4 linked regions of the Tamandua tetradactyla genome follow. The protein of the gene in region 2 purifies or fractionates together with the protein of the main gene of each other region. This does not show direct contact. Links are inferred from orthologs where the notes say so. Each region holds a gene or a part of one and is shown on either strand. Other genes may lie near its edges.

Region 1 (7,629 bases), on a different chromosome or scaffold from region 2:
TAGTTCCCTGGGTCTCCACTAGCTCATAGAACATCTTTGTATGAATGACAAAAGGGTATCCCTTTCTCAAGGTGACAGAGACCTGCACCGAAGCGCATGGTTTGTGAGTAGGGGGCAGAGAACTAGATTTCACCCTATATCGCCAAACAACCTGGGGCAGAGCGCAGCCTTCAGGATCTTCATAAACATCAGCAACAGCCCTGCCAATTTCCTTTCTCTGTCGGCTGGGAGGGGGATGTTATCTAGTGGTTAGGATGCAGGGCTTGGGAATCACAGGCCATGTTCTAGTTTTGACCTCAGGCAATTCTCTTATCTGAGTCTCAATTTCCTCTTACTTAGAATAGGAGTAACTATATAGTACCAAACCTTAATCCTTAGAGAATTTTTATGTAAATTAAACAAGAGACCCTGTAAAGCAGAATGAAAGAATGAAACTGCGCTTTGGACTCTTTTTGGACTCCTGGATCCCACTTTTTTCTCTTCTACACATTTCATTTCCTTCCCTTCTCTGGGCCATGCTCAGAGCCCCCTCTGAAATCCCAAGCTCTCAGCTATCATGCTGGGGCTCTCTCACCAGTAATGCCCAGTCCCCAAACTTCCTTGTCCCCAAACCTCCTTGTCCCCATTTCCCCCAAGTTACCTTGAACCTTTTGTCCTGGAGAACCTTCTTGATGGCCACCAGCTCCCCAGTCTCAGCCAGCCGTGCCTGGTACACGACCCCAAAGGAGCCATTGCCAATCACTTTGATGTCTGTGTAAGCCACCTCCTGGGAGCACTCTGGGCCCTGGCCTAGGGTGGCTACCACTGTGGTCACCTTCCCGCTGTCACCTGGGGGACAAAAGGGACACACAATTGACTAACCTTTCCCCTCTGAACATTAACCACCACCACCACCACCACCCCCCAGAGCTTTGAGGGGAGAGGGGAAAAGAGATCTGTGTGTGACCTCTGTCCCTTCTCTCTCCGTGAGAAAGGTGGATGCTGGAGCTCTCCCAGTGACCTTTCCCCTCTCCCCTTCATGTAAACCTTAATTCTGCCTCCTCCTGTACATGAAGATATTGACACCTAAACTGTTTTGCAGTTCAAGGACTAGTTAACCCCAATTTCCAGTAAGCCACAAATCACTGGTCTTACTATGGGGAGACACTGACACACACACAGACATACACACAGAGACACACAGAGACACACACACGTTGAATCTATCCACTCTGGGCTTACTGATCTTTGGCCCCTCCTGTCTGGGGAGAAGCCTGACCTAACCTCTTCCACTTAAGGGAACAGTAACCTTGAGCCCTGAGCTACTCCTACTCTGGGAAAGCACTAACCTTTGGTTTCTCAGTTTGGCAAATAGTGACCTTTAAGTCCTACTGGGTAGAGCAGGTAACTTCACCACTGGTTCTTGATGACTGAATAAATGAACTCTTCTAACATGAATGGTAATGCCCTGACCTCACTTTTTGGAAAGTTACCCCTTATTCAAATACTTTCATGTTAGAAAACGCACTGATCTGACCTCCTCATCTGGGTGGTTCACAGTCCCACAATCCTCACTGTATGGATGGTCCCTAACCAAGAAGCATCATATTGTTAGAATAGTGAACCTAATCTCTACTCTTAGAAGGCTATCCTTAAACTCTGATTCCCAAATTCTATTCTCTTAAGGCAGCAAACCTTCATGCCATTGCTAGGAGATGGTCACTGCTTTTCTTGGATGAAGCTGCTGACCCTAATTCACTTTGAAGGGCCATCACACTTTCTTTTGGAAGATGACCCTACATTGTGATTTATTTCAAAATCAATGACACATGCCCCAAAATAATTATTGAAACTTATAACCTCTGGTCCATACTCTATGGGGGAATTGTGTCCCTTCATTCCATTTTTGTGGAGACCCACCATTTTTTTTTTTTTGAAGAGCAGTGACTATGGACTTGAAGGATACAGTAACTCTTAATCCCACTTCTGGAGGACTGGTGACACTTGTCCTTATTTCTAAGAAACAGTAACCATTAATTTCCACCATTGGCGGTACAGTTCTACAAACTGTGAAAGAGCAATGGCAACAGACCTTGTATTTTAAAAGAGAAGACAACCAGGACACCAAGTTTGAAAAACTCTGTCTTATTATTTGGGGACACAATAATCCCAAATCCCTGTTTCTAAGTGGTGTTGACTCTTCTCTGAGGGAGAGCAAATTCTGAGACCCCTTTGTGGAAGGGGGTGGTGATCTTAATCTTGTTTTTGTAAGAGGACAGTATAACAATGAATTTGTTCTCTAGGGGATGGAATGTCAGATTCCTGTTTTTAAGGCTCAAGAGATCAAGATCTAAGTTTTGGAAAAACAAGAACCTGTGACTCCTTATTTCTTTGAGGGTTAGTAATTGTGATCCTAAACTCCAAGCGATGGTACCCCCCTAAACGCATTCCTCCGGAAGGGAGCAAGCTCACACACCAATTTGGGGAGGCACAGTGACCTCAGGTTCCTATCTGGGTGTACGAAAAGAACTGATCGACATTTGAGGGGCCTCGGGAACCCGTATCTCCACCCGCCAAGGGCGCCGTCAGTACTCACGGCCCAGCTTCACTCCAGGCGGCGGGAAGGTGGTGCCCGCGCCGGGGCCGCCGCTGCTTGTTCCGCCGCTGCCGCTGGGGCCACCCCCGGAGCTCGTGGGCCCCACGCCCCCACCCATGGCCCCGACCGACGCCTTCCCGCCGCCGCTGCCACCCGGGCCGGAGGCCGAACCCCCGGGGCCGCCGCCGCCACCTCCGCCGCCACCACCCGGCTCCGCGAACGAACTGGTTCGCGCCCGGCCCGAGCCCCCGGGGCCGCCCCCCGAAGGCGCGCCGCCGCTCATGGCGCCGAGAGCAGGCCCAGGCTGAGGGGCTCGGGCTGCCCGGGCTGCCCCCGACGCCGCCGCTGCTGCCGCCTCCCCCGGGCTCCGGCCTCCTCCAGGCCTCGCCGCTCGGGCTCGGGCTCCGGCTCCAGCCCAGCGCCCGCCGCGGGGCACGCCGGGAGCTGCAGTCCGCCTCTCCGGCGCGCAGTCGTCACCGCCCTCGGCCTGCGGGCGGTAGAGCGAGTCGCTTGGCACGCCGGGAAATGGAGTCCTGGGTACTCCGTCGGCCGACTGTGCCGACGGCCGACCCTACAGCACTTTGGGAAACAGAGTCTGAGCGGCACACTCACTCCACCACGGCAAGGCGTTTCGGAGGTGTGCCTCAGAAATATAGTTGCAACCGCTCCATCAGGGAGCGACATAAACCTCTTGCGTAACCGGAAGTGAAGTCCAGCCTCTTAGTCCGTTGGGCATACATGCCTGCCCGCGTTAGGTGCACTCTAGGAAATTACGCCCGTTGGCTCACAAAAATCCGCCGTGTGGCAAGCTGGGAAATGGAGTCGTTGCCACACCCCCACTGCAATGCGGGTGTAAAGCGGTTCCAAGGCACTCCGGGAGATGGAGTCCCACGTGGTCCATGAGCCTCCAGTGGCTACTGCAGTTCCGGAGATAGGCTAGAAAATGAAATAGCTATGGCTCGCCTCTACTCCATACGCTCGGCCGCAGTTCCTACCGGGAAATGTAGTTGACACCAAGGCTTCAGCGATGTGTCTACAGCGAGCCTTTGCGGCTTCTGGGAAATGGAGTTCAAGGCTGCCTCCCCATCGACCGAGGGGGTAGGGGTTTACCATGAGCCCAAAGCATGCTGGGACTAGTCCAGCCCGGATCCTGACCTGCGGTGAAACGAGACTGCCTGGGCTTGTCGGGAAATGGAGTCCAATGAATACCACCAGGAGTGTGTGGGCAAAAAAAACAAAGCAAACAAACAGAACCCCCTGGGAAATCGTAGACCTGTTTCAGCCTTCTTCCCCAACCCCCAGATACTAAGACATGTAATTCCCAGGGGCTGCTGGAAAATGTAGTCCAGCACTCCTTCAAGTTCTAGATGTCTACATTCCGGGAAGAAAAAGAAAAATGCGCCTCCCACCCAAAGAATCTAGGAAATTAAGTTCCCAACGATGTCTCAGAATACTACACAATCTCCGTATATACGCTAGCACTTTCTAGCAATGTGGATCATACTAGGAGTCTAAGCTGAAAGCTAAAAGAGACTGTGTCTTCCGCTTCCTACATTACGGAATCCGGGAGGGCTCAAGACAAGGAAGCCGGTTGGAAGAAGCAGCATCAAGCTTTGTGCATTCATTGAATTACCCGATTTATCGATTAATACCAGGAAGGAGAATGTTCCAAAGGACGCTGGGAAACAGAGTTTTTGTGTCTCCTTCCCACCCCGCCTCCGGAAACACTTGAGATGAACACGCTCTCAGCCCCTCCCGCCTCGTGAAATGGTGGGAAAGAGCCTGGATTTCACTTTAATCTGAGCCTAAGTGTATACAGCCCTGCCCTTTCGGAAGCCGGGAGAAGGTTCCGTCCACTCGATCTATTCCTGAGTGCATTTCCCAGTGGACACAGTTCCCGGGGACAGGACAGGGGGCAGCGCTGGAGCCGTTTCGAACTACATTATCCAGAAGGCAAAGTACGGCCACAGTTCCGCTCTTTCTCACTGCTTGCGACTTTATCACGCACAGCTCGGAGCAATTTTTTCTGGGAGTTATAGTTTCCCAGCCAAGCAGCGCCTGCTGCCCTCTGACGGCAGCTCTGAGTCGAAAAGCAAAAATGTGAACCAAGCCCGAGGGCTTGGGGAACGCGAACCTGCGCGCCCACAAGGCCGATGGCCCGAACGAGGCAGGGTAAAGACTGTTACTTAACGGCCAGAATCCGCGGGAAGTGCGTAGTGGGCCGCGCGTGGGCAACCGCCACCGAAGAGCCTGGGGTCCGCGAGAGTCTCAGGGCGACTGTAGGAAGAAATCTATCAGGCCATTCATAGGGGCTGAGAACGTTCAAAGAAGGGTACTAAGATAGGCTGTAAATGTTTGTGAGTAGCCTGAAGGTGCCTAGAGAGGTGACAGGGTCTTTGATGGGACTTTCTACTTGGAAGCAGAGATCTTGGAAGACATGGAAGGGACCAAGGGTGTGGTCTCACAGGAACTTAGCTTTTCAGGCCTGCAAATGAATTTAAGTGGGTCATTAAAGATTGGGGTTGCCGCTGGAATTTTGAGGCCAGGTGCCAGACAGTGTGGCATCCCACTCAGCCGGAATCTGGAGCAATAAGTCTAGTTGGACCCTGGCCTGAACAGGAGAGCAATTCTGGAGATGAGGACTTTTGAATCCATGTTAGACTTGGTTAGAGTTGTTTTGAAGGCACCTGGTCTGGAGGCTGAAGCTACTAGTCAGGGTCCTATCCTTCCCCCCAATTATGCCATGCCCCTTTCTCCATCACCCACCACCACCAACTTCTCAGCTGCATCTGTGTTGCCAGGAGACATACCTCAGCCCAACTTCCAGAAATAGCCCAGCGAAGCTGCTCCCAGTGGTCCCCACCCCAGGGAGTGACTTACATCACCCAGGAGAGGGAGCAGTTGCCTGCAGGCCACCACGGGAGCCTAGGTTTCCTGCCAGTATCCCAGCCCTGGATCCTCTCTTCATTGCCATCCATGATCTGGGACCACCCACCCTGGGCTGGCAGTAGATGAGGTCAAAGCAAGAGTGGGTAGCAGTTACCCAGCCAATGTTCTTTCTCCCTCAGGGTTACACAGGGTGGGATTTCATGGTGAAACCAATCCAGCAGCCCCTGAGCCCTACCTTCTTTTAGCAGGTGTGTGGCTTTAGGGAAATCCCTTCCCCCTCTCAGCCTCAGGCACCTCACCTCCACTACAGAGGTCAGGCTCTTCTCTAAGGGCACTTCCGGCCTGAATTCCTCACTCTCATTCTCTTAGCCATTATCAGAGAACTCCAATCTCTGTTTCTAGTTTCACAAGCTCACCTCTCAGATCCTGTGATGGAGTCCCTGATCTTGGGCCAACCATTTTAGCTTCAGGGAGCACTCCATTGTCAAAAGAACTTGGAGTTTGTACACAGAAGTCCTGGCTCAACTTCCTACAGCCTCATGGCCTCGAGCGTGTCAGTCGTTTTAACTGTGCCCATCGTCCCTACCTCACTGGTTGTTGAAGGAGCTTCTAGCTAAGTACTTGGCACAAAGTAGGCCAATCAATGACAACTATAATTATTGAGCCAGTCCCTTCTCAAGTTGCTGGCTTGGGGTGTTCCCATGGTTCCTCAAAGATCATTAGGGTTCCTGGCGAGGTCTACATTTCAAAACACAGTGGGCCATGTCTCCAAAGGACTCCCCAGATTAGTTTAGAAACACCCAGAGGAGGGTGCCGGTGTTAGAATGTGAGAGTGCAAAAAAACCATCTCTGATTCTCTTGGGGAATCGGGATGTGGGAAGGAGTCACAGAACCAGGGAAGGGCATTTCGAGCCATCTAAACTGCCTGGGCAACAGGGTAGAGATGAAGAGTTGAAAGCACTTTCATGGAAGTGCAGGTCCTTTACAGAATGGGGCAGTGGTCAGCTCTAAGGCCAGAGTGTGACCTGAGGTTTATGTAGCCCTGAGGTCAGGAGATTTTTCCCAGGCCGTTTTGACCCAGTCATTTGGGCTCAGACCCTCTGGCCACAGATCTACAGGGGCAGGTAGGGAGGTAGGACCCAGACCAGATCCTTGTCCTTCAGAATCAAGCAAAGGCTGTGCCCCACACTTAAGACAGATGACCGCATCAAAAGGTCCAAAGTTTTATTGTTTGGAATACATTCTCCAGCCGCCCCTCCCTCACTCCCTCCCCACCACCCTCCATGCCCAGTACAGAATAAGGCTTGACCACAGCCCCCACCCCCACCCCACCCGAGGGGCCCCTGCTGGGAGGCAGAGGGGGCTTCCAGTTTGGTTTCAGGGCAGCCCATTCCCACCCCACCCCCACCCACCTGCCCATGGGCCAGTCCTAGGAGCAGCTAAAGGTGAAGGGGTTGGACCGGTGCTGGGTGGGGAATGAGAGAAGGACAGCAGGCACTTGAAGAGATTTGTGGCCCATGGGTGGCACCCCTCACCCTCTTCCACTTCCCACCGCCCACCACGCAGAATTTTTGGTTCATCATAAAATTGTCCCTCCCTCCCCTGCTGTTACCTTGTGGGGTATGAGAAGCCCAGGCACTCACAGCCCCTGGAGGGGCAAGGAAGGCAGGGTTGGGACTGGGAATGGTTGTGGGGCAAGAGGGAGAGGTGCAAGAGGCAGAGGCCAGGGAGGGAGACAAGGCTTTACTTCCTAAGCGATTGTAATAAAAAAGTTCCTGGGTATTGAGACCAGAGCCTCAATTCAAATAAAAATCCCCAGAACGGCAGTGGCCCCCTTAACCTCCCCCCTCCCGTCCTCCTCCCTCCCCCACCTTGCCCAGAGCTTAGAAACCCACAGACAGGGGACAGTCCCCAGTTCTGGGCACCCACCCATCCCGACCATTAAAAAAAAAATTAAAGTTTTATACAAAATATGGGGGGGGGGGCAGGGAGAGGGAGGAGGCAGAGAAGAGGCAGCTGCCCTCACCTCCAGGGCATTGGGGGGTGGGGTGGTTAAGGCAGCAAAAGAAGCATGGGTATGGGGGCACATGGGTCCCCTGCCCACAGACCTCAGGAGTCTCGGTGCTCCAGAGAGAGCTGGGCCGTGGCGTGTTGGAGATCAGAGC
Region 2 (7,937 bases):
GGGCTGGCACGGTGGGGTCTCCCCTTCCTCTCCCGGAACCGGGGGTCTTGGGGCATCCTCGCGGAAGCTGCTGCTGGGGTCCGGGAGGCGGGTCACCAGCACGGCGCTACTCATGGCGGGGGAGGAGTTCTGAGTTTGGCTTTTTTTTCTTCTTCTTCCAGTTCCTCTCAGCAACCAGCGTGGTCTCTCTTTCCCTCTCAAGTCAGCAGGAGCTCATCTGAGCCTCCTCTCTGCAAAGAAAAGGAAGGGGGGGAGGTGGGGAGAGAGAAAAGGGTATTGATCTAATCAAAACCAGATCTACCCAACATCAAAGCAAGAAAGTAAACAGGCTTTTCAACTCCTCAAATTCAAATCAAGCAACCCAGCTATCTGCGAGGTGCTCATCTAAAGTATAAGACGCTGCGTTTTCAAAGGCGAAACCTGAGCTCCCTGCACAGTTTTCCGGGGGGGAGGGAGTGGGGAGGGGACGGGATGGAGAGGTGGGAGAGAAATAAGATGGGAAGGGTTGATGGGGGGGTGACAGGGTAAGGAGACAGCTTTCCAAACACCCGCCTGGGCCCCGGTGCAAGCAAGGCGTCCCGGGAGCACCTCCCTGCTCCCCTCCCCCCAACCCATAGCATCAACTCCAAAGACACACTCCGAGTCGCCCGGCTGTGCGCAGGTGAAACCAATTTCGGCAAAAATTTCCTAACTCGGCTCTCCGTACAGATAACTTGAGCCCCAAACGTGCCCTTCCTCGGCATCTGGTTCCCATTCCCCCAGCCACCCCCTTTCCTCTGCACTCCCCCCTTCCCACTCCTTAACAATTCCGAAGATCCTCTCCCGAAAGAAGCCCGCCCAACACAAGGCGGAACGGGCTCCCGACTCCCAGACCCAGGAGGCAAACGCCCCTCAACCCAGATGGGAATGTTCGCCGCGCCCCACCCCCGCCCCCGCCAAGAATCCGGTTCAGTTTACGTGTCTCCATCTCGGGCTCCCCCGTTCCCCCAAACCAAAAAACCCAACTCACTCAGCCCTGACTTTGATCTTCAAACTTTGCAAGAAACCAGAGAAGCCTCGGGCCCTGCCGCCCCCGTCCTCCCCCCAGCCCACCTCCCGGGGCCGCGAACCCTACAAAACCGGATCAGAAACTGTCTCACGCTACCACTGTCTATGCCAAGACTCCCGAACTCTACTGATCTCAAGCCTATCTTTTCCAAAAGAAAAAAAAAGTCTTATCTAGCCAATAAACAAACCGCTTTCCTTAGCACGGGAAGGATCGCACTAAAGAGGGCAGGGTCGGGCCGGGGAACCCCAGGCCGGGCAACGCGGCGGAGCCGCGGGCAGCACCGGTTACCCGAGCGCTGGGGAGGTGGGGCTGCCTCGATACCTGGAAGACGAAGGCGGCCCCAGGCCGGGCTCTCATCTCGGCCGAGACCCTCAGGACTGGCCCATCCCCGCCCCTGCCCCAATCGAGCCGAGCGTGGGGCAAGAACCCCAAGAGGCGCAAGCAGCGTCCGGAGTCCGGGCGCGAGTCTGTCCCCGGCTCCGCCGCTCGCAGAGGCGTCCGCAGAAAAAGCACGGAAAGCGGCGGCCAAGTCCAGAAATGGCGACGCGCGCGGAGTCTCCGGTTCTCGGCAAAAGGGGCCGCGGCGGCGAGGCGGCCAGGGGCGCGGGGCGCGGGGCGCGGGGCGCGGGCGGGGAGGAAGGACGCGGAGAACGCGAGCGCCCCGGGCTTGGGCCAGTTCTGCGCGCGGACTGAGCCTGGCCCGGCGCTCGTGGCCCCTTAGCGCGGACCCGCGGCAGGGAGGGGAGAAGGGGAGGAAAGAGAGGGGCGGGAGGAGAGGATGGGGCGGGGGGGGGCTGGGGAGGGAGGGGGCGGCGAGGGCCTGGGGGCGCCGCCACCCTTTCATCTCACCTTCCCCAGTGCACTCCCGCGCGCACTCGCGCGCCGACTTACATCCCTCGCGACGACAGCGCCGCGACCCCCGGGGTATCTGCCCCCTCTCCGCCACCCGGGCCCGGGCTCTGGGGAGGGGGCTCCGGCGCGGCCAGGCCCAGCCCCCTGGAGCGCTCGGCGCCCGGCTCGCGGCTCCCCTCCGCGCGGGTCCGCAGCGCGCCCCGAAATAGCTCTCCAGAAAACTTCAAAGGGCCGCCCCGCCGACGCGGCCCCGGCACTCACCATTGATCCGCGCGCGCGCTCCGCGGCCAAACCTCCAAGACTCCCCCCGCAGGGCCCCGGGCCCCCCCCGGGCCGGCCCCGGCGTCGGGGAACATGGGGAGTCGCGCGGCGGGAGTGGGGGGGTGGGGGGGAGGCGGAGAAACAACAATCTCGGGATTAGAGGGAAATCCAGCGGCGAGGGAGGGGCCGCGCGGCGCGCTCCGCCCCCCCTTTTATGCAAAAAAAAAAAAAAAAAAGAGCCGCCCCGGCCTCCGCCCGCGGGCGGCCCGGCACTGCACACAGGCCCCGCGTCCAGCAGCCGCTCCGCGCACCAAAGATCCTCCGGGCGCTTCCAACAAAAACTGCGCTGTGGATTTAACTGTGCACTTCAAAGGCGCGAGCCGAGCGCACGGTCCTGAAAGGGAGGTACGCGCAGGCCGCGCCCCGGCCGCCCCCGCACCCCTCCCCGGGGCCGCGCGGCCTGTCCCATCCCCCGCACCCCCGCGGTCCGCCTCGGCCCCGGCCCCACAGGACCCTCTCCCGCTACCCCAGGCCCACGCCGGGGTCGGCGCGACCTCTCCCTCAGGCCCACGCGGGGCTTCCTCTGAAGAGGCTCTCCTGGGGCCGACATCCACCCCCACCTTTTACTTCAGGGCTTCTGCAAGGGGAGACGGACGGCTGGCACGCCGGGCGGCCCCCCGCTCCATGCCTTTTCGGGGTTATTTTTATTGCCAGGCGCTCGGGTTGTTACTGAGTTGCCAGGACCTTATCAAAGCGCAGCCGGCTCCAGCCGCCTCCCCCCGGGCCGGGTTTCGGGAGCCAGTGATCCCGCCGCGCCAATCACCGCCGCGCTCGGCGGGCCCGCGCCGCCCGCCTTAAAGGGATAGTGCCCGCCCCGGCCCGCCCCCGCCGCACGCTTAGCTCCCGCGTTAACCCTTCCCCGGCCTTCCTCCGCCCCCTGCCAGCCTCCCGTGGCCCCAGTGGCTTTCTCAGCCGGAGTTTCTGATTTCCTCTTTCAAGTTCTCCGGCCTCTTCGCTCTCGCCTCCTCCCCCTGCCTTCCCTTGCCGTCCCCAGCTCTGGAATGCAACAGTTTATTGTAGCATTCAGGCGGTCGCAAGAACTGCAAGCAAGCAGAATGTTGGCGTTTTTTTCCCCATCATCAAACACTTTCTACCTCTATTAAAGTTTCCCTGGGAATACGGGCTTGGAGGACTTTAGAAAGGGAGTTCTAGCCCTGGGCTGGACTGGCCGAGTGTCAGAGGGCGCCAGCGGGCCGGGATGCGGAAGGCGTGCGCGTGCGTGTGCTTCTATATCTGACTCTGGGTAACTGCAGGACCAACGTGCGTTTGTGGATGTGAGAAGATGGGGCTGTGAATCTCCTCCCAGTGCTGGAGACCAGTCCTGACACCAACTCCCTGGAGATGTAACCCCTGCTTCCCAGCCTTGCTGGCCAGTCGGAACCTGCACTGCGCACACATTCACCACCTCTCTGGAACATGTCCTCCGCCCTCTCCCAAGCGTTCCCCATCCTCCCATATGTTCTATATTAAACAGACACGAAGTGTCTTTTTTCCCCTCCAGACACGCGGTTTTAATGTACTGAAAACTCGCCACCCCACCGTCGCAGTCCAATTCCTCCCCACATTTGCCCAATAATGTTTATGGGACACAACCTCACTCAAGGTAATAAGAAATATGCCACAAAACCCAGAGTACTATTTATTTCGTCATGCATTGCTACAGAATGATCCCTCATGGGATGATGTCATAGTTAACTTTGCTTCCTCTTAGGAAAGGGTGTGAGCCAGGGACCCCCGGACTGTGGGGCAGAGCTGCCAGCATCAGAGCTGGGCAAGACTTTGGCTCTCCAGCCCTGCTCGCTTTTTCTTGACTTACTGTCTTGTTGAACTTAATGTATGATGAGCCCTTTTAAATGCAGAGGTACCCCTAACCTGGCAGAGGCCTGTGAACCCTCAAAAAAATGCAAGAAACTTTCTCTCTGTCCATTCAGGTTTTCACAGAAAACGACAAGGGAGATACACCACCCATGACATGCTGGAAAGCGGCACACAGAGGGCCAGTGTTCCACCCACCCCCAGCCTACAATGGGGGCATGAGAAACTCTTGCAGCTCCGGCTGCTGGGCTCTTCAGCCCCTGAGTGCCAAGGCAGGTGTACCTCTCTCCTGGAGCACTTGCCCTGCCTCTCTGTGTCCGTGGCCGCAGGGCCAACCAGGAAGACCAGAGCAAGAGTGTGGCCCAATGACTCATCTTTGCCTTGGGACAGCAGCAGGGCGTGAGGAAGCTGGAAGCAGGTCTGGTTCAGGCCGGTGCCCTCTAACAGACCAGCCTTCCGGAACCCTGGAGGGTGAATGGCCCACAGCCCCTCTCGGCAGCCAGCCTGTGCGCACATGCGCGCTCTGAGCAGCTGGAGGGCACCCAGTGGCAGCGGTACACCCATTTGGGGCCACCCCAGGAGAGCGAAGAGCAGAGCTGTCCCCTGGGTTAAAGCCTGTGGTTCCAGGGAGTCTTTAGGCCACAGAGGGTGTTATTACAGGAACGAAAGTGTAGCGAGGCCTCGATTGCCTGCAGACACATCCACAGTAGAAAAAACAACAGTAGTGCACTTGCACTCACGCAATGTGGGGGGGGGGGTGAAAAATCAAAACATCCAAAATCAAAATAAACAATGTTCACAAAGAGGGGGATTTGAAAAGGGAAGTGGAAACTTAGTCTTCATGGGTGGTTTTCCTCCCCTCCCAGCTGTCCCCACTGACCCTCCACTACCCCTCCACCATCCTGAAGCATCAAAGGTTTGGCTGTAGCCAGTGGGCTCCCCCTGAACTCCCTCATCACCCCAGGCTGCAGCGGCAGGAAGGAGGGACTGGTGATGGGGAAGCCAAGCAAGGCCTGGTTTGATTTGCATCTTCTCAGTTATAATCCCTCGGTGAGCCTGGTTTCTAGAACAGGTGCTCGGTCACCTCAGGCCAATGACCCACCCCCACCCCACCCCGCCTCCTTCCCCCTGCCCTCTCTCCCCTCCCCCTTCATATCTGGTCATGCATTCCCCATCCAGCAAGAGGGCTGGCCAAAGGGCTGAGCTGCCAGAAGCCCTCTCTGGCCTCTGGGTCTCTGACCACTTGTTGATAATATTTCTAAGCGGAAGACCCAAAGTTCTTTGCTTATACCCAGCCCCTTTCTCAAGATAGCACAGTTTTCCATTTTCCCCTTCTCCCTGGCAGCAGCGCTATCATGTGACTGGTTGTAATCCTGCACGGTTGCCTGGAAACTGGAAAGCAAGGTGATGGATTTCTGCACATGCTCACTGCCCCCGCCCCCAGCCCGAACCCGCTCTTTAAAGAAAAACCCGACAGAGAATAAACAGCCCACTTTGCCCAAGTGCAGACAAGTTTAATAAAGGAGGGAGTGATTCTTTTCTGGAATTATGTCCTGGGCTGAAATTCTAGAATCCCAGGAAACCAGGGCTCAGGGCTCCCTGAGAGGCATCCGGCCAGATCTGTGACCTTTAGTCATCCCCACAAAAAACCACCCTGGAGGGAGCTCACACCAGCTGGGGCTCCAGAGGATCTCACACCCAGAACATCACTCTCTAAGAGTCTGTAACTTGGTCTTTTATTTCTTTGGAAAAGGGCTGCCTTAGACAATGTACCTTTGTTTAGGGAGAGAGGTGGAGAGATACACAGGGAAAGATACACCTTTCCTGAGACGGCCGGTTACCTAGCTGTTCCAAGTCTCCGTTTGTGCACCTGTAGAGTGGAGGAAATCCCCCCTCCAAAGGCTGTTGTGAGATGGGCCATAAGGTAAGCATAGTAGGTGCCTGGCACATAGTAGGTGCTCAGAACAGGGTGGTTATTTCTGTGCAGACAAAAGCCTTTGAAAGGAACTGCCCCTATTCAAAACAAAGACAGCCTCCAATCAGGAGTCACACTCCCGGGGGAGGGGACCTGGAACCTGATCAGGAAGGGCCTTTAAAGCTGAGCCAGCCCAGCTGCCAACCCTGCAGAGGGGCCCGGGCTGGGGGGACAAAGGAAAGCTGTGCCTTTCTGCCTTCTTTCAAAGAGACTCCTATCCTGGTCCTGAAAAGGTATAGCAGAATTTTCCAGCCCCAGGAGCACTTAAGGTCTTGTCTAATCCATCCCCATCGTTTCAGAGACAAGAAAAATTAAGAAAGGATCTTTCCGAAATCATTTCGCCCATATCAAAGCTGAGCTAGAACCTTCTAGCGATCCCAGCTTCTGGCCCACCCTCTTCTTTTCCTCCACGTCGTGGTGAGAAGATCCAGGGCAGGATTGGGCTAAGAGAGCTAAGCATTTAGATCCTTTGGCTCTCAGGGGAGGGCTAATAAATGTGCTTTGGGATCTTTCTCCAAAGTGTCACAACAGGGATTCAGCCTGAAATTCTTCTGAAGCAAACTTCATTCAGCCCCTATCAGCCTTGACCTCAGGAACTGGCTGCAGCCTGGGTGGTCCCACGGAGTCTTTTCTGGTGGGAGCTGTTTCCCCGGGCAGCTCCGTGAGGTTGGAGCAGCCTAAGGGAGAAGAACTTACAGAGCCTGAGAGGAAGGAGAGGAATGAAAAGTAGGGGTCAACTTCCTGCCACTCTCTTCCTCCTACTTCTTTTCCTCTTTGCAGAGAGGGGTTGGGGATACCAACAAGGACATTTTGAATCCACAAGGGAAATGTGAAATTTCCCTAAGAAATAACTACCCATAGAAATGTTGGGGAAAACTTCTTTTGTTAGCAAAATCTTTGGTATATTAACTTTGGATATAGTTAATTTAAACAAAAACCTTAAACTTCTTCATTTTATTTACTTTGAGGTGTTTTTAGTATGTATTATAAGTGATGCCACAAACTGTTGGATATGTTGGAGTCACACCTTTCTTCATCTTGGCTAGTTTAGTAGTTGGCCTGAGCTTAGAGCTAGAAGAGACCATTAATATGAAAGCAAATCTGGAAAGAGACTCTCTTTTCTGAAGTTATCTCCTCCGTAATGTCAAGCAAACCCAAAAAAGGTCATTTTCAGAAAAGGAACTGAAAAACGGGGGGAAAACATCTCTAAAGGCATTACTTGAACAGGTGCCACGTGAAACTTTGCTAACAAATAGATCTGTAGTCCTGGGCCGTCCCCAAAGATTTTTTTTTTTCTGCTTGTGAGGTTTCAGTTTGTTCATCTTAAACAACTGGAAAGTGAAGTTTTATTGAACTTGAAATACGTTTCTCCATTTCCTCATGTCAGCTTGTCTCTTGATTTCCTTTGAACATCCCTACACACTGGCCGATTGCTTTCCCAGACCCCAGGGGGATGGCTGCCATGAGGCAGGCTGCTCCCCCGGATCCCAGGCAACCCCCAGAGCACCTGGAGAGGTTCTTGATTTTGCTCCATGTCGAAAAACCTTCTGTACACCATGTCTCCAATGTTCTGCTTTATCATATAGCCCGCCGATTCTGTAATGGCGCCTCCTTCCTTACCTGATGGACTGCCAAACAGTCAGGAGTGTAGAGTGGGTGGCAAACCCCTCTCAAGAGGAGTCTATACTTGTTCTCCATACTTCCTTCCCTCTCCTTCTCTCCTTGATCCATCATAGTCTCTTTTCCTCTCTCACAGCTCCACGGAGACCATTCTCAGCCTGGTAAAAGGCATCCTAACGGCTAAGTCAAATGGGCCCATTTACTCTGTATATTGCTTGGCTTATCTGAGGCTCGCTCCTCCCCACTTATGTGACAGGTCCTTCCCCATTACTGCCTTGCCTCTCCAGCTGCTTTTCAGAACAACTC
Region 3 (7,112 bases), on a different chromosome or scaffold from region 2:
CTGCAGTCCCTGCAATAGCTCACCATGTTGCCTACTAACCGAAAGATCAAAAATTATCGATTTCATGGCGCTGCGTGCTCTGGAAAGAAAGCTACTTTAAAATTTGCATTGTTTAAGAAATGAACTAAAAGAAAAGAATTACTTTTTTTTTCTGAACACTTTGGAATTTGAAAATGGCTTGTTGTTTTAATCTTATCCATGATTTACTATTATTCTATTCTTTTTAGCAGCTGGAGTCCAGAAATCATTTTTTTTCGATAAATTTAGGATTTTGCCGCAGTATACATCTGCAGTCCCAGAATCCTCCGGTAAGTTAATCCTTCTTGCGATGGGAAACGCCTTAAACCTTCTTGTGAATGAAATATCTGCAACCATTTTGAAAATTTTAAAAGAGGGGTGTGTGTGTGTGTGTGTGTGTGTGTGTGTTTGGGGTTTTTGTGTGGGGGTGCATCCAAAGAATGATGTGTTTGGAATGTGGCGGTATTTGTCCTAGTTCTTAGAAACATTAAGACACGTATATTTTTGTGTTCCTTGAATATCATGGATGATGTCTCCACTGCTTGTCCTTCACCTTTCTTGGTAGCCATTAAAATGTACTTCCTTAGAATGGTAAGGACTGTTGTGTCAAACCAATTAAGGTCTCGAGAACACATAACTCACAGCACGAAGACTGTTCTTGGCTTAACTGTAGTAGCCATGAGCATAACTGCCACTGCTGCTGCCACTGCCACCACCACTGCCATCGTCTTCCACCACCTTTGCCACCCCTCCCTCGCTCTGCAGTTCACAGGAGATGCAAGCATTCCACAGCGACTCTCCGCCAAATTTGCCAGTGGGTTCCTAGATTACTTCTGTGCATGAGAATAGCCAACCATGTAGTCTGATAAGAGGTATTTACAAGTACTTGGTCTTTTCAGCTGGAAAGAAATCAAAAGATTACACTGAACCCCAAGATGCTGTATTGCAAATTAAAAGTTCCAATCCATAAATAGCCCACTTGATGAATTGTTAAATGAAAAGCTGGCCCTGATTATTGTTTAGCGCTTTTGGGTTGTCATAAAGGAAAATTTTTAACAGGCCTTCTTAGAGAGTCAGGATTTGCTGTTTGTAAATAGACTTACCTTTCTGCTGGAAGGTGATTCTCCAAAGGGATTTGGATGGAGAGTCCAGAAGAGACCACACCCTTGTTTCACAGCTATTTTTTTTTCATTCTTTCTGCTTATTTTCGAGTGAGGTTAATTAACAGTTACAATTATACATTAATTTAAGGTACCTAAAATCAAAAGGAGCCAATTTTCACTTTCCTCTTTCTAAAACACACTCATTGTCTTAAGTGCGCAATAAATGTTTAATTAATGGATTTGATAGCATTAACAGGACTTCTTCATAATGCTGGCTTGATTAGTTTTCTGAATTGCAAAACAATCTGGGCATTTATTTCTATGCCTAAAGGTGATTCAAATGCATGTATTTTTAGTGAAGAGACACTTACTGTTTGGATTCTGCATAGCCACTGTTTGATATGCCAATGATCAGCAATTATGACAAGTAATACCTTCTCTGTTATACCAGCTGGAGACAGCTTTTGGTTTTCAGGAATACAGCCTAAAATTTCGAACCATTTGTCTGTTGCAGGTTCACAAAATGAATTGATTTATGTCAAACTTAAGTGGGCTGGCTGTAGAAACAAAAGGTGTAAAAAGATAAAAACCAAGCAAACTTTTACAAAATGTATTGCCCAATGTCAAATTTTAAAAGCCATTTTTTATAAAATCACTTATTTCACCAACTCATCAGGTATTTTGATATTTGCCTTTCTCTTTGGTTTAATGATAGTATTTGCCTTCATTTCACAGAAGTTATTCATCTTATAATTTTGGTGAGACAATTGGAAAAATTTGTTTTACAAGAGAAGCAAATAAAAAAATCTGAGCAATTTGTTAATTTTAACTCGTCTTAATGCTAGTCAGCCAGTAATTCTTCAAAACTTAAACTTGATAGAAAAACAGCTTATTGTTTTGATGCAAAATTTGCCTTTAATCTATTTGCTTGCTTCAAGTGTCAATAGGGATTAAAAACTCACTTCTAAATTTAGATTAAAATGTTTAATTTATAGAGAACTGTTTCAATTATTTTGATGACACAATAGAGAAATATAAAGATGGTTGTTTTAATCCTTTTGATTTTCTAACAGTACAAATATTCCTGAACCAGTTTTAACAGTGTGCCATAATCAGCAAATATAAACCGAACATAGAAAAAGCAGACATCTATTTAAAAAAAACTACTATTGATTAAACAGTCATCTGATTTTAAAATGTATGGTTTTAATCATTATTTGTATTCTTTAATTCTGTATATGAGAATTAAAATTGGGAATCAGTACTTGGAAATGCCATTTCTACTATCGAGTTCATATTCAAAAACATTGCTTTGATAAAATACCTTCTTCTGTTAAATCTGTTTGAATTATGACCAGCCAAATTGATCACAACCATGAGTTACATTTACATTTAATTCTACAGAATTACTGGCAAATGAGAAAAGCCATTTTCTAGACAGATGAGAAAGTCATTCTAGACAATGGATCACTGAACATCATTTTAGTGCTTGGATTTACTCACTACAGCCGCCCACACAGTGCTACGGTGTGGAGGTCAACATCACCACTGTATACAGTAAAATATCTAAAGCAGACAAAAAAAGTTATTTAAAGACCATATTGGCCTTGAAGCACTTACTTATGCCTAAAACTACCCTTCACTTCTTCAGTGAATGACTAAATAGGTTTCATGCCTGTACTTATGTACAAAGGCTATTGTTTGTATTCATTAATTATAGTCCTAGGATAAAAGCCCCAAGATAACTTTCACTGTTGCTGGTTGTACTCTCCCCATCGTTTTACAGGAAAAAAAAAAACATAAAATGAGACTAAAGAAAGTGAATCAATCATAATTGTTTCAGTTTCGACAAATGCCAATCTTGCTTGCTTACAATGGAGGCATTTCCAAAGGACATGAAGACCCAACTTCAGCCTATCAAAACGAATTAGAAAATGGGTTTTTTGTTGTTGTTGTTTTTGAATAGAAAACTAGTTTTTAAAAAAAATCGAACCTGCCTAATCGGTAGCCCCTTCTATAAACACACACGGATTTCTCAAATAAGTACTACCGGAGAAATTCACCTCCACAAATAAATCTGATACTTAGTGGAACTAGATAAAAATGGAATCTATAAAAATTAACCTAATTGGCAGGGGTCTCCAGCTAATCCATTTTGATTAGTCATTTGTTCACAGTAGGCATTTATAAGGACTTGTTGAATTGCGGGCTTGGCGCACATTCTAACGAGAGTTCACAGCTTTCGGGAGTGGGATAGTAGGTGGCTCGGCCCTGGTCAGTCACGGCCACAGCCACGGTGAACAGCGGACTGGGACGCGGGGTCCACGATTCGGACAGCTGGGGGCTCTTTGGGGTGGCGGGCGCGTAGGCTGCGAGCCAGGCCCTGCGCCTAGCGTTGTGGCACAGAGCGGAAAGGCGGCGGAAGCCCCTAACTCTCTCCCCGCCGGAGCCTCCGAACAGACAGCGGGACGAGGGAGGTGGGGGGGCAGCGGCGGCGTCCAGGCAGCAGTCGATGCCTGCCGGGCCCAGACCCAAACTTCCATCCTCCCGAGACCCGCCCTGCAAGTCCACCAGCTCCGCGCGGTCCCCGAGGGCCCGGGCCGAGGTGCTGCCTCCCGCGGGCAGCGCCCAGTGAGGCCCATATCTGCTCGGGGGACACACCGGGTGGGGGGCGTAGGGCTAGGGACAGTGGAAGCTCATCTCGGTGCTGCCCTCCCCTGACCCCAGCCCGCGGGGACTCCGGCTTCCCAGCTCGCACCATGGCGCCACCCTAAGTTACACTCCGCTTCCGCGCAGCACCCACCACCCCACTAAGGGGCGCACAGGGAGCAAGCGGATAGCCCACCCGGCCCGGGAAGGACAAGCAGCAGCGAAGGGCTTCGCGTCGCTGGAACTACTTTCCGCCGCCCGCCCGCGCCCCGCCCCTTGCACTCACGCGGTGGAACGCTCCGCGCCATGCCGGCGGCGGCAGGATACAGTGGCTTCAGCGCGTCTTATAAGAGGTCCTTGTGCGGCGCCATTTTAAGCCTCTCGGTCTGTGGCAGCGCGTTAGCCAGGCCTTGGGAGCGGAGAGTGAGGGGAGGCGGAGACGGAGACGGTGAGAGGTCCGAGGAGCTCCAGTCCCCGCCGATCCCCGACCGCAGGCCGAGGACGCCCAGACTCTCGCGGCGGGCGGACCCTGTACCCCTGAGGTGCTTGGTGCTTCTTTCCTTAACCTTCTAGGGCTGCTCCCGCCTCTTGTTCTGAACCAAACTTCGTCGCGGCGCGCAGTCCTGGCGGCGGGCGGGGAGGTGGGCCCGGCGCTGCCAGGAGGCCCGGGTTGGGGAGCCTGGGGGTATGGGCTGAGGTCGCCGGGAGGCGGCGGGGGCGGGCCGCGCTCGGGGGGTAGAGGGCGGTGGCGGTGCCCGGGATCCGGTCGCGCTGCCCCTAGGAGACCCGGGGGGCGCCGCTTGCGAGGAGGGGGCGCCGCAGGCATGCGTCCAGGAGCCCGGATGGCGGGCGGGAAGGGGGAGCCGTGTTTCCGTCCGGGGCCCCGGCCGCGGCCGAGTTTGGGGGAGGGACCCTGCGCCTCAGGATACGCCGGGGCTGGGGTGGGGGGCGGGGTGGGGGTGGGAGCCTTCGCCTTCGCAGCCCAAGAGGGGAGTTGGGGTTTGGGCGCTGGGGCCGGGACACTCCCCGCTAGGTGCCCTCTGCGGTAGGGATGGGGCCATTGGACTTTCTCTCCAGATTCCTCCTTTCGTTCCTCAAGAGAATTATTATCATGCTCTAATGCCCAGCCTATGTGAGTTTGGCATTGGAGCTTGTTAAAACCGTACCAACTTTAAACCTCAGAGGAACCAAACTCTTAGTGCAGCCGGTGCGATGCGCCAGGAGGGTTTCCACGTATCAAATCCGTGTCTTGTACCTCTATCTTTTCGTGTCGTGCAGGTGATTCCAGTAGCGACGCGTGTTGATGTACTGGGAGTCTTCTGGGTTTATGGCGGTGGGTGTGAGACCTTGGTAAAATAAGGGGGGAATGGTGTCGCGGTTTACGGTTTCATATAAATGAACCGCGGGATTCAGCCTCTGCTTGGAAAATGTTGTTCGTAGAAATAATTTACTCAGTTTTGTGACAGTTAAACTTGATTTTTGGAGCAGTTTTCTTTTCAGTGGAGCGAAATTGTCCAAATGAAATTTAAGTACGGCAACTTCTTTCGGTGTTTTGTCTGGGGAAAGGACTTTTTGAACAGAGGCTTTCGAAGTTAAGTTCCCACAGACCGCTTCTGAATCGGCTTGAGAGCTTTGTCAGTCTGGTGTAGTACTTTCCTTCGTTTTCTGTTGGCGTTTGGAGGGAGGCATTGTCTCATACTTTGTATCTTCCAGACATCTGTGGTCTCCCCTCCCCCTGAGTTTTTGCGTGGTGAATGAAGGGGGCCTGGGCTGCTGGTATGCAGAGGTCGGCAAAAGGAAATCGAGGAGTGGTTTTAGTGAAATGAGAGCTTTGTATCATGAATAGTGGTGGCTTAGACTAGACATCAGCTTGAAGAGACAGCAGCGTTTCCTTTGATAGTCTCGGCTAATGTTTTTCAGATACTAAATTAAAGTATCTTGTCTAGGATTTAGGAAGCCATTTGATTGTCACTTGGTTAACATTAATATATCTTTAGATATCCTTATGTTGTCTTAATTTTTTTTCTAAGAAAGTAATATTAGATATAGCTTGAAAGGTTAATTGCATTATGCTGCTGTTTATTATTTGCTTAAATTAGTGAAACTTTCGTATTTCAGAGTGTTTAAACTTATTCTGAACTAACTTAGTAATAAATCTATTTTACTTTTACATTTAAAACACAAAATCTTTGGTATAAAAAAATTCTGTCAGGGTTTATTTTATAGACTGTTCTTTCACACTAGACAAAATTTGATTACTTTGTACCCGATATTCATTATTTTGACCTAGTCTTTGTTCTGAAGGCCACATACAAGGACAAGGCCCTAAAGTGATTGCAACAGTAACTGAAGAACTTGAAAAACTTGCAGAAGACTGTTCTATAGGATTAAAGGAATGCTCAAACTATTCAAGTCTGAAGTCCTTGAGGGAGGAAATAAAGAACTGTGCTAGAAAGCTTAGCATAGTATGTAATTTAGACTCCGCAAGGAGTCGGAGGCCTGAGAATCTTCCAGAGGCTAAAACAGTTATTTTAAATCGTTTTCAGAGGTAACCAACTTTTGTTTTTTCATATAGTGGCTAATAAAAATGAAGCATTTAACAGGGTTCAGGTGTCAAGAAGCATCCGTTTTCCTTTTTTTTTTTCTTTTGAACTAATTATCTGATTGCTTCATTTACCAAGATCATTATGTAGAAAAATTTACATTCCAGTGTTAGAACTTACTGAACAGTGATTTGAGCTTTCTGTTTTTAGTGATGACTGCAGTAAAAATTGTTGTAAATGGAGTGCCATATACTTGTTTTCATAAATTGTTCCCCTTTCCCCAAGATAGAAAGGATAACATGAAGGGGACAAGTTTCAAGGTATTTTGAGATATGGTGCTTAGAAAATCTATATGTAAATAAACTTTTTTGTTGCTGTTTGGGAAGGAGGATGTTGCATAAGTTTTGTTGCAGCCAGAACGAGGAGAATTCAAAACTTGGACTATCATTCTTATATACTTGGGAGGAGCTGTGAAATTTATATGAATATCTTCATGCTGACAAAACTTTTGTGTGACTGAAGTGAAACAATATATATCTGTAGTTACAAAATACTTTTATTTTCTTCCCTGGTCTATTAGTTACAAATACTAGTTATAGATAAGCAGGTGGTAAATTTTAAGTTTGTGTTTTCAGCTTGGTCACAAGCATGCTTGATTGCTAACCCAGGGTAGAAAGGATGAACAAGTTAGGGCAGGTCAAACCTCTAATAAAAATTATTGGTAACTATTCTGTAGCTGTACATGTTAACTTGTAACATTGTTTTTGAAAACATTACTTGTATTAACTTAGTTGTTTTC
Region 4 (7,125 bases), on a different chromosome or scaffold from region 2:
GATACCTTGGCTCAAGAAGGCTGATGTGTCCAGAATACCTCTGTCTGCTGGGAAAGTGTGTTACTGGCATCTGCTGGGGTCTTTGGCTTCTTGTTTCAAACAGCTCCCTGAGAGTGTTTTCTTTCTTCATCTTCAAATGTCTGGGTCTCTTGTTGGCTCTGACGCTTTTTCCAAAATTGTTTCCTCTTAGAGGACTCCAGTACTCAACCCCATCTTGAATGGGTGAAGACAAATCTCCATGGAAACCAACTAATCAAAAGGTCCCACCCACAGTTGGGTGGATCACATCTCCACGGAAATGACTTAATTAAAAAAAAATCCCACCCAGCAATATTTAAATAGGATTAAAGAACATGGCTTTTCTGGGGTATACAAGTTTCAAACCAACACATGGTATGACGTAAAGGTCTGCTTTCTTTCTTTCGTATGTGGAAATCCAGTTTTTCCAGCACTATTTTTGAAGAGACCATCTTTTTTCCCCACTGAGTGGACTTGGCAACCTTGCCAAATTCAATTAGCATTAGATATGTGGGTTTACTTCTGAATTTTCAATTTTATTCCATCGGTCTGTATGTCTGTTTTTTTGTGCCATTATCACACTGCTTTGATTAATGGAGCTTTGTAATAAATTCTGAAATTGTGAAGTGTGAGTCCTTACCTTTCTTCTTCTTTTTCAAGATATATTTGGCTATTCAGGATTTCTTACCTTGCCTATGAATTTGAGAATTGGATTTTTCCACCTCTGCAAAGAAATATTTTGGAATTTTGATTGGAAGTGCATTGAATCTGTTTATTAAATTTGAAGGGCAGCACCCAGGAACACTGTAGGTATTTAATATATGTTGGTCAAGTAAATGAGCTCCTAGGAAGAGCTTGTTCACAGACTTATGTTTGGAATGGCTGCCACCAGGTTCATTAAAAAAAAAAACTCATATTCTATTTGCTACTCTCATTATTAAAGCTACCTACAGTTTCCTCAAACTTCAATTTAAAATGTAGCTAGGTGATTCTGAGCAACTCATTTACTCACTCTAGTGTTTAGCTTCCTTATTTGCAAAAAGAGAATAGCTTTACTGGCTTGCTGTGAGGACAAAATGATATAACACATGTTAAAATACTTCCTAAACCTCAAAATGCTATGCAAATGCTTATTACTACAGAATTTATAAAGTCAGTTCATTGTGCATTTTAATTTATAACTACCATCTTGTAGACTCTCTTACCCACTACCCTACTCAACCATTCTCTATCAACCGGCTTTCCACCCTTTATCTTTTTCCAGTTGTTTAGTTTACTGATACTGCGGCTTAGAATCACTAATCTCTGCAAGGCACCACTTGATGGGCCCTAGAGAAAAACAAACTGATATTCTATAAGGTTTGTTCAAAACCAGAAATACACAGTAAGAAAGTATAAGGTTTAGATTATAGAAAAAGCAACATGTACCAGGAGAAGTAGGGACAGAAGTACACAGGAGACGCTAAGAATAGGCTCTCCGAACCCCAGTTCTACTTTTTATTCTAGCTTTCTAAACGTTTCTTGTCCTCAGTTTCCTTATCTGAGGATCAGAGATGAAAATAGTACTTCAAAGAATATTATGAAATTTAAATGAGATGGTATTTATAAAATACTTAAGAACAGTGCATGGAACATTGCAAACAATTTATTTATAATTAATATAAACTGATAAAGTGGCTGACAGTAAGCAGGAAAGTAAGAATAGGTTTGCAAGTTCACAAAAGCAATTACTGAATGTTAGTTGCAGTAGTTTTGTATTTTCTCATAAACTTCTTCAAGCCCTAATTCTTGGACTGCAGTACACTTTCTTCTTTCTTATAAAATCTACCCCTCTTGGTCTGATTTTTTTTTTTTATACAACATCAGTTCAAAATACTGAAGGCAGCAACAATAAAGTAATTATAACCTCAATGTACACAACTTTTGTACTATTAAATACAAAGGAGCAAGTATGCTATTAATCTGTATGACATAAACGTTTGTTTCCTATGGTATAGTTGGGAGTTGGAATACGGAGTACAGAAGAGGAAGGTGAGATTCAAAGCTAAAAGGGTTCATAGCATTTTACTCTTTTTTTTTTTTTTCCACATGGGCAGGCACCGGGAATCAAACCCAGGTCCTTGGGCATGGCAGGCAAGCATTCTTACCTGCTGAGCCACCATGGCCCACCCGACTCATAGCATTTTAGGTAGCAGCACTAAAGGTCTTTCCTGATACTTGGCATGGAGAGGAACCATTCAGCAGACAAAGCCACCATTCCCTGATTATGCTTTTAACATTCTTTACCCTAGCCATGACATCCACTGACTACATGTTCTCTCTTCATTACAAAGAATAAGGTTTTTTACTACTACAAACTGATGAACTAACTGTTGGTTACCCCTGATGTTTCTTGCTTGGCCCGAGGTGTTTCGCATAGCCATGACATCCACTGACTACATGTTCTCTCTTCATTACAAAGAATAAGGGTTTTTACTACTACAAACTGATGAACTAACTGTTGGTTACCCCTGATGTTTCTTGCTTGGCCCGAGGTGTTTCGAAATACTGATTGCTAACATTTAAACATCCAGAGAGTTCACACAAAAACCCAGTTTTAGGGGTTCTCCTGGGGTAAAAAAGGAAGCGATTATCTCAGGACACTGGACATACATTTCTTCAGGTGAGACGCATCTGCTTCCTCTGGTGATGCGTGGACACTTCAATTTGCCATTCTGTATTCCCTATTACCTTACATCAAGCCAGCTTCACTGATTTGCTTTACTCGTCTGGCTTCTCTAGACATATGAGTCAGCAAATTCTATCTAGACCTTTCCTGTCTCCCATCAAAGGTCACCTGATTCTGTCCCAAGTCCCTCATCAGCTTTTACAAAGAAATAGGTAATCTGATCAAATACGGGTACTATCTGAGATAGTATCTTAACAGAAAGGGATGATTCTGCAGGTACAAATTACAGGCACCAACGGTTCACAATCAGGATAACTTTCCGTTCTACTTTGCCTATCCGGACATAGCCATATTTCACTGCCTTGTGGCAGACCAAAGTAATCACTTTTTTTTTTTTTTTTTTAGTGTAGAAGAACGAATGTGTGAAATCTACTCAAACTGGACTTTCACAGATCACTCCAGTTCCAAAGGACTTCAACCACTATGGGCTCATTTTTTTCTCCATTTCCTCAGAGGCTTCCGAACATGCGGCCTGACGGAATTTCTCACCTACTTTTGGGACCGGTTTTGCAGTCCACACAGTCTACACAAGGAGCGCGCGCAACCAGCATGAGCTCATTTCTCAGAGGCGTTTCCAGAAGGCCCAAACTGGACGCGCGCATCTAGGCGCAGTCGGCCTCATTCTAGCTATGGCTCCAGCAGCTGGGTGGGGCACGACCGCTCAGAGATGCTGCCTTTCTGGAAGCTTTGTTTCCACTTTAGCACCCGGCCACGGTGAAAACTCGCATCCTGCCAAGGAAGCTCCCTTGGCTCGTTGAGCCCTTTTGGGGAAGACGCAGGTACATCGGACTCACGATCCCGGGCTCAGGGAAGCCTCAGACACGCAGTTTTGGCCGTGCCCCGCAGACAGCCTTTATTTGGTGGAAGAACTCCTCGACATTCCTCCGTTTAAAAGCTCGGAGCCCAGTCCCACCCACCGCAGACATTTCGGATGGGGGTGCAAAAAGTCCGAGCTACCTGCACGGCCTGACAGCAGTCGCATAAACCTCCGTCAGGCTGGCACCACTACTCCAGTTAAGGTTCTCCCAGATACTAGGACTGCCGCCGCAGGCTGAAAACCAATCACACTACAGCTATGTCTTGCGATAAGACGGCAGTGAGTTTCGATTGGCTATCGCTAAGAGCTTCGCCCTCCCTCCCTTTCCTTTTGCCCCCCACACCAGCGCCAAAGTTTCAAGCCAATGAGAAGGCATTTTATAGACGTCCTCTCTTCGCTTTCTTCTGCTCCGCACCACGGCGAGGGAGGAGACGTCGTAACTGGCTAGACTATTCTCGGAAGCCTCCTTTCCCCTCACCAATCACCCAGCGAGGTATAATCCCAGCCGAGTTTTTCAGCCAATTATAAAGAGGCAGCGGTGCCCAACCGCGCAATTTCACCAGCGACTCCCAGGTTCATCGTCCTTAACTCTTCGTGCTTTTTCGTGAGGGCGACTGACTCTGATTGGTCACTGCTGCATTGTCGATTTTCTCTTCCGTCCAGCCATAGAACAAGGCGAATCCACCTTTATCCCGTTCGGCTATCTTCGACAATCTTCGCTCTTTGGGTGTGGGTTACCAGCGACACTTTCTAATTGGTTCCTCAAGCCGATCGGCTCTTTCCGGAGGAGTCTCAAACAAACGGCGTCGTGATTGGCCCAACTCGGTCTTCGGCTTCTCAGCCGAAGTGGGCGGGTGCGAGCTCGGTCGGCGATTCCCAGACGCCTGTTACGCGGGCGGTGGGGCTCTAGGCGGGGTAAGGCTGGGTGGGGGAGGAAGGAGGCGGAGGACGAGTAGGAAGGGGGAGGGGGGTGAGGAAGAGCTAGGCGACTGCGCAGACGACGCTCCTCACACAGAACAGCCCCGACCCAGGCGAATGCGGGTTTGTGCTGCTGCTGCCGCCGCCCGGGCCGAGTGACAAAGGAAGGAAGGAGGGAAGCGAGGAGTAGCCGACCCCGCAGCCGCTGACAAGGCTTCGGGCTGAGGGCAAAGCGCCGACACTTCCTCAGCGGACACGGAGCAGAGGCTAGGGGTGGGAGGGCGGCCGCGCTGGTGCGGTGGACGGGGGAGGGGGCCCCGAGGGACGGAAGCGGTTGCCGGGTTCCCATGTCCCCGGCGTATGGGGAGCAGTCGAGGAGCCGCTGCCTGGGGTCTGAAGGGAGCTGCCTCCGCTACCGCCGCCGCCATGGCCGCTGGATCCAGCCGCCGCCTGCAGCTGCTCCTGGCGCAATGAGAAGAGGATCTGCTGCCACCGCCCGCTTCTGACTGACTCGCGACTCAGCCGCCCTCTAGTTCGCGGGGCCCCTGCCGTCAGTCCGCCAGATCCCGCCGCCGCCGCCGCCGGAGCCGCAGCGTTTCCCGTCGCATCTCCGAGGCACCCCCTCCCTCTCCTTCCCTCCTTCCCATCCCCCTTCTCTTCAAGCGTGAGACTCGTGATCCTTCCGCCGCTTCCCTTCTTCATTGACTCGGAAAAAAAATCCCCGAGGAATATATAATATTCTAAGTGCTTATTTTCAATCAAGTATTTGTCCCCGTTTCACGTGAGTTTTTTTTTTTTTTTTTAGGATCCCTCCTTTTCTTCCCCTCCCCCAGGAAAGGGAGGGGAAAGAATTGTATTTTTTTTCCCCATCCCCAAATCATCTATATGTTAAATATCCGTACCGATCTGTCTTGAAGGAGAAATACATCGATCGTTTTTTATAGCTATACAAAAGGAGTGAAAAGCCAAGAGGACGAAGTCTTTTTTTATTTTTCCTGTGGGAGAACTTAATGCTGCATTTATCATTAACCTAACAACCCAATACAAAGCAAAAGGAAGAAAAGGAGGAAGGAAGGAAAAGAAGGTGATTCGGGGAGACAGGATCATGTCAGGGCGGCCCAGAACCACCTCCTTTGCGGAGAGCTGCAAGCCAGTGCAGCAGCCTTCAGCTTTTGGCAGCATGAAAGTTAGCAGTGAGTATTGATTTTAATTTACCCCCCTTCGCTACCTCACCTTTAGAATACGGAACCTTGAAATACTAGGGTTTAAAAATTTTGGGCCTCCCGATTTAACAATCTGGTTTACGAAAAAGGGCAAAATTAGTCTTCAGTAAAGGATGAGGCAGCTCCCTCTTTTCTCCTCTCGTATCCCCTTCCCCTGTCTCATTAACCTTGAATTGGCAGAATAGGATTTGTATTTGGATGAATTGATATGAAACTTTTGTTTTTTAATAGTTTTTCTTGCTGTTGGTAGTCAGTTTTATCGAGTGTTTTGAGTGTTTTCGTGTTAAAATAGTGATGAAAGTGTTTACTTGCTTATTCTCTTGAATAAAGAAAACAAGACTTGTTTCATAAGACATGTACGCTTGCGGAGTGTACTTTTTTTGAGTGAGGGAGGATATTGAATACAGTTTCGTATATTTAATAGATGCTCTAAATATCACATCCCCCTAACATGTTTTTCTTGCTTGTGTGACTATACAAAGTATTGTTCTTAATCCGGGGGTGAACTTGATCAGGAACCAACCTTTATGTTTGAAGTGAGCATTGACTCCTCTCCTTGGAACTGGCGTTTGGGAGCCCATAGCTATCCAGCAGCAGTACCATCTCTACATGCATTGTCTTAAATTGAATAAGTGGTTTAATGCACTTTTTTTTATGCTTCCATTTTGACATTACCAGTTTAACACTAATTTGTTTAGTCAAAAGGTAACTTGAAAGTAGGTATAAGTTTTGAGGTTTGTAATGTCATATTGCCAAATACTAGGTTACATGTTAATTGCCACTGATTCATTGTCATTTAAGTTCAATTTGGGGGTGTCTTTGCATTCATTACTTTTAAATGTTCTAGAGTACAGGGGTCCTCTATTAGGACTATTTAAAACACTCTTATCTTGGCTTCCTGTTACATTTAGAAAGAATATGAATTTAATGATAAGAATATGGATTTAGCTCTTTTTGTCACGGCTTTGCAAAAGCCTGTGGCCCTGGATATAATAGGGTTATTTGGGCTGTGCTTGATAGGAGCTGTTGCCAGACTGTACTCTTGTCCTGGATTTGTGCTGAAAAGTCCATGTTCGTGAGGTGGTTGGTATACTAAGTATCTGATGTTCTATTGTATCTCTGTTTGTGGAGATGTTTATTGTATATTTGATGAAGTGTTTAATGACAGCTTATTTAAATATACTTCCAGAATTTGTCAGAAATGTGTGTATTGTCTCCTTTTTCCTCCAGAGAGGGGCATAATGAGATAAAAAACAAGCTCTTGCTGCCTAGAACAGAAAACTGAGGAACTGAGATTTAAAAATATATATATATATATGCTATTACATGTACAATGATTACTTTTAATTGAATTTAAGATTTCAAATCATGTGGCTTTTTGAGTCCAGGTTTATAGCTGAATGGCAGATTAATTTTTTAAG

The links.
Region 1: the proteins of AXIN2 (region 2) and GSK3A purify together in Homo sapiens (affinity purification with mass spectrometry; 3 studies listed by BioGRID and IntAct, with this or other methods). This does not show direct contact. The link is inferred for Tamandua tetradactyla from reciprocal best matches to the Homo sapiens genes AXIN2 and GSK3A.
Region 3: the proteins of AXIN2 (region 2) and CTNNB1 purify together in Homo sapiens (affinity purification with western blotting; 4 studies listed by BioGRID and IntAct, with this or other methods). This does not show direct contact. The link is inferred for Tamandua tetradactyla from reciprocal best matches to the Homo sapiens genes AXIN2 and CTNNB1.
Region 4: the proteins of AXIN2 (region 2) and GSK3B purify together in Homo sapiens (affinity purification with mass spectrometry; 9 studies listed by BioGRID and IntAct, with this or other methods). This does not show direct contact. The link is inferred for Tamandua tetradactyla from reciprocal best matches to the Homo sapiens genes AXIN2 and GSK3B.

The regions. Positions count from the first base shown.
Region 1 is NC_135342.1:21,910,768-21,918,396, forward strand, and holds the start of GSK3A (glycogen synthase kinase-3 alpha), read right to left. Parts: upstream 3,002-7,629; 5' UTR 2,859-3,001; coding exon 2,576-2,858; intron 829-2,575; coding exon 641-828; intron 1-640. Other genes in the region: ETS domain-containing transcription factor ERF, read right to left, coding at 7,574-7,629. UniProt on the Homo sapiens protein: Constitutively active protein kinase that acts as a negative regulator in the hormonal control of glucose homeostasis, Wnt signaling and regulation of transcription factors and microtubules, by phosphorylating and inactivating glycogen synthase (GYS1 or GYS2), CTNNB1/beta-catenin, APC and AXIN1.
Region 2 is NC_135332.1:8,456,896-8,464,832, reverse strand, and holds the start of AXIN2 (axin-2), read right to left. Parts: upstream 3,005-7,937; 5' UTR 2,906-3,004; intron 2,900-2,905; exon of another isoform or gene 2,782-2,899; intron 2,567-2,781; exon of another isoform or gene 2,402-2,566; intron 2,275-2,401; exon of another isoform or gene 2,162-2,274; intron 1,458-2,161; exon of another isoform or gene 1,370-1,457; intron 231-1,369; 5' UTR 115-230; coding exon 1-114. UniProt on the Homo sapiens protein: Inhibitor of the Wnt signaling pathway. Down-regulates beta-catenin. Probably facilitate the phosphorylation of beta-catenin and APC by GSK3B.
Region 3 is NC_135341.1:46,094,349-46,101,460, reverse strand, and holds the start of CTNNB1 (catenin beta-1), read left to right. Parts: upstream 1-4,111; 5' UTR 4,112-4,312; exon of another isoform or gene 4,313-4,522; intron 4,523-7,112. UniProt on the Homo sapiens protein: Key downstream component of the canonical Wnt signaling pathway.
Region 4 is NC_135336.1:25,803,104-25,810,228, forward strand, and holds the start of GSK3B (glycogen synthase kinase-3 beta), read left to right. Parts: upstream 1-4,124; 5' UTR 4,125-4,478; intron 4,479-4,484; exon of another isoform or gene 4,485-5,286; 5' UTR 5,287-5,586; coding exon 5,587-5,674; intron 5,675-7,125. UniProt on the Homo sapiens protein: Constitutively active protein kinase that acts as a negative regulator in the hormonal control of glucose homeostasis, Wnt signaling and regulation of transcription factors and microtubules, by phosphorylating and inactivating glycogen synthase (GYS1 or GYS2), EIF2B, CTNNB1/beta-catenin, APC, AXIN1, DPYSL2/CRMP2, JUN, NFATC1/NFATC, MAPT/TAU and MACF1.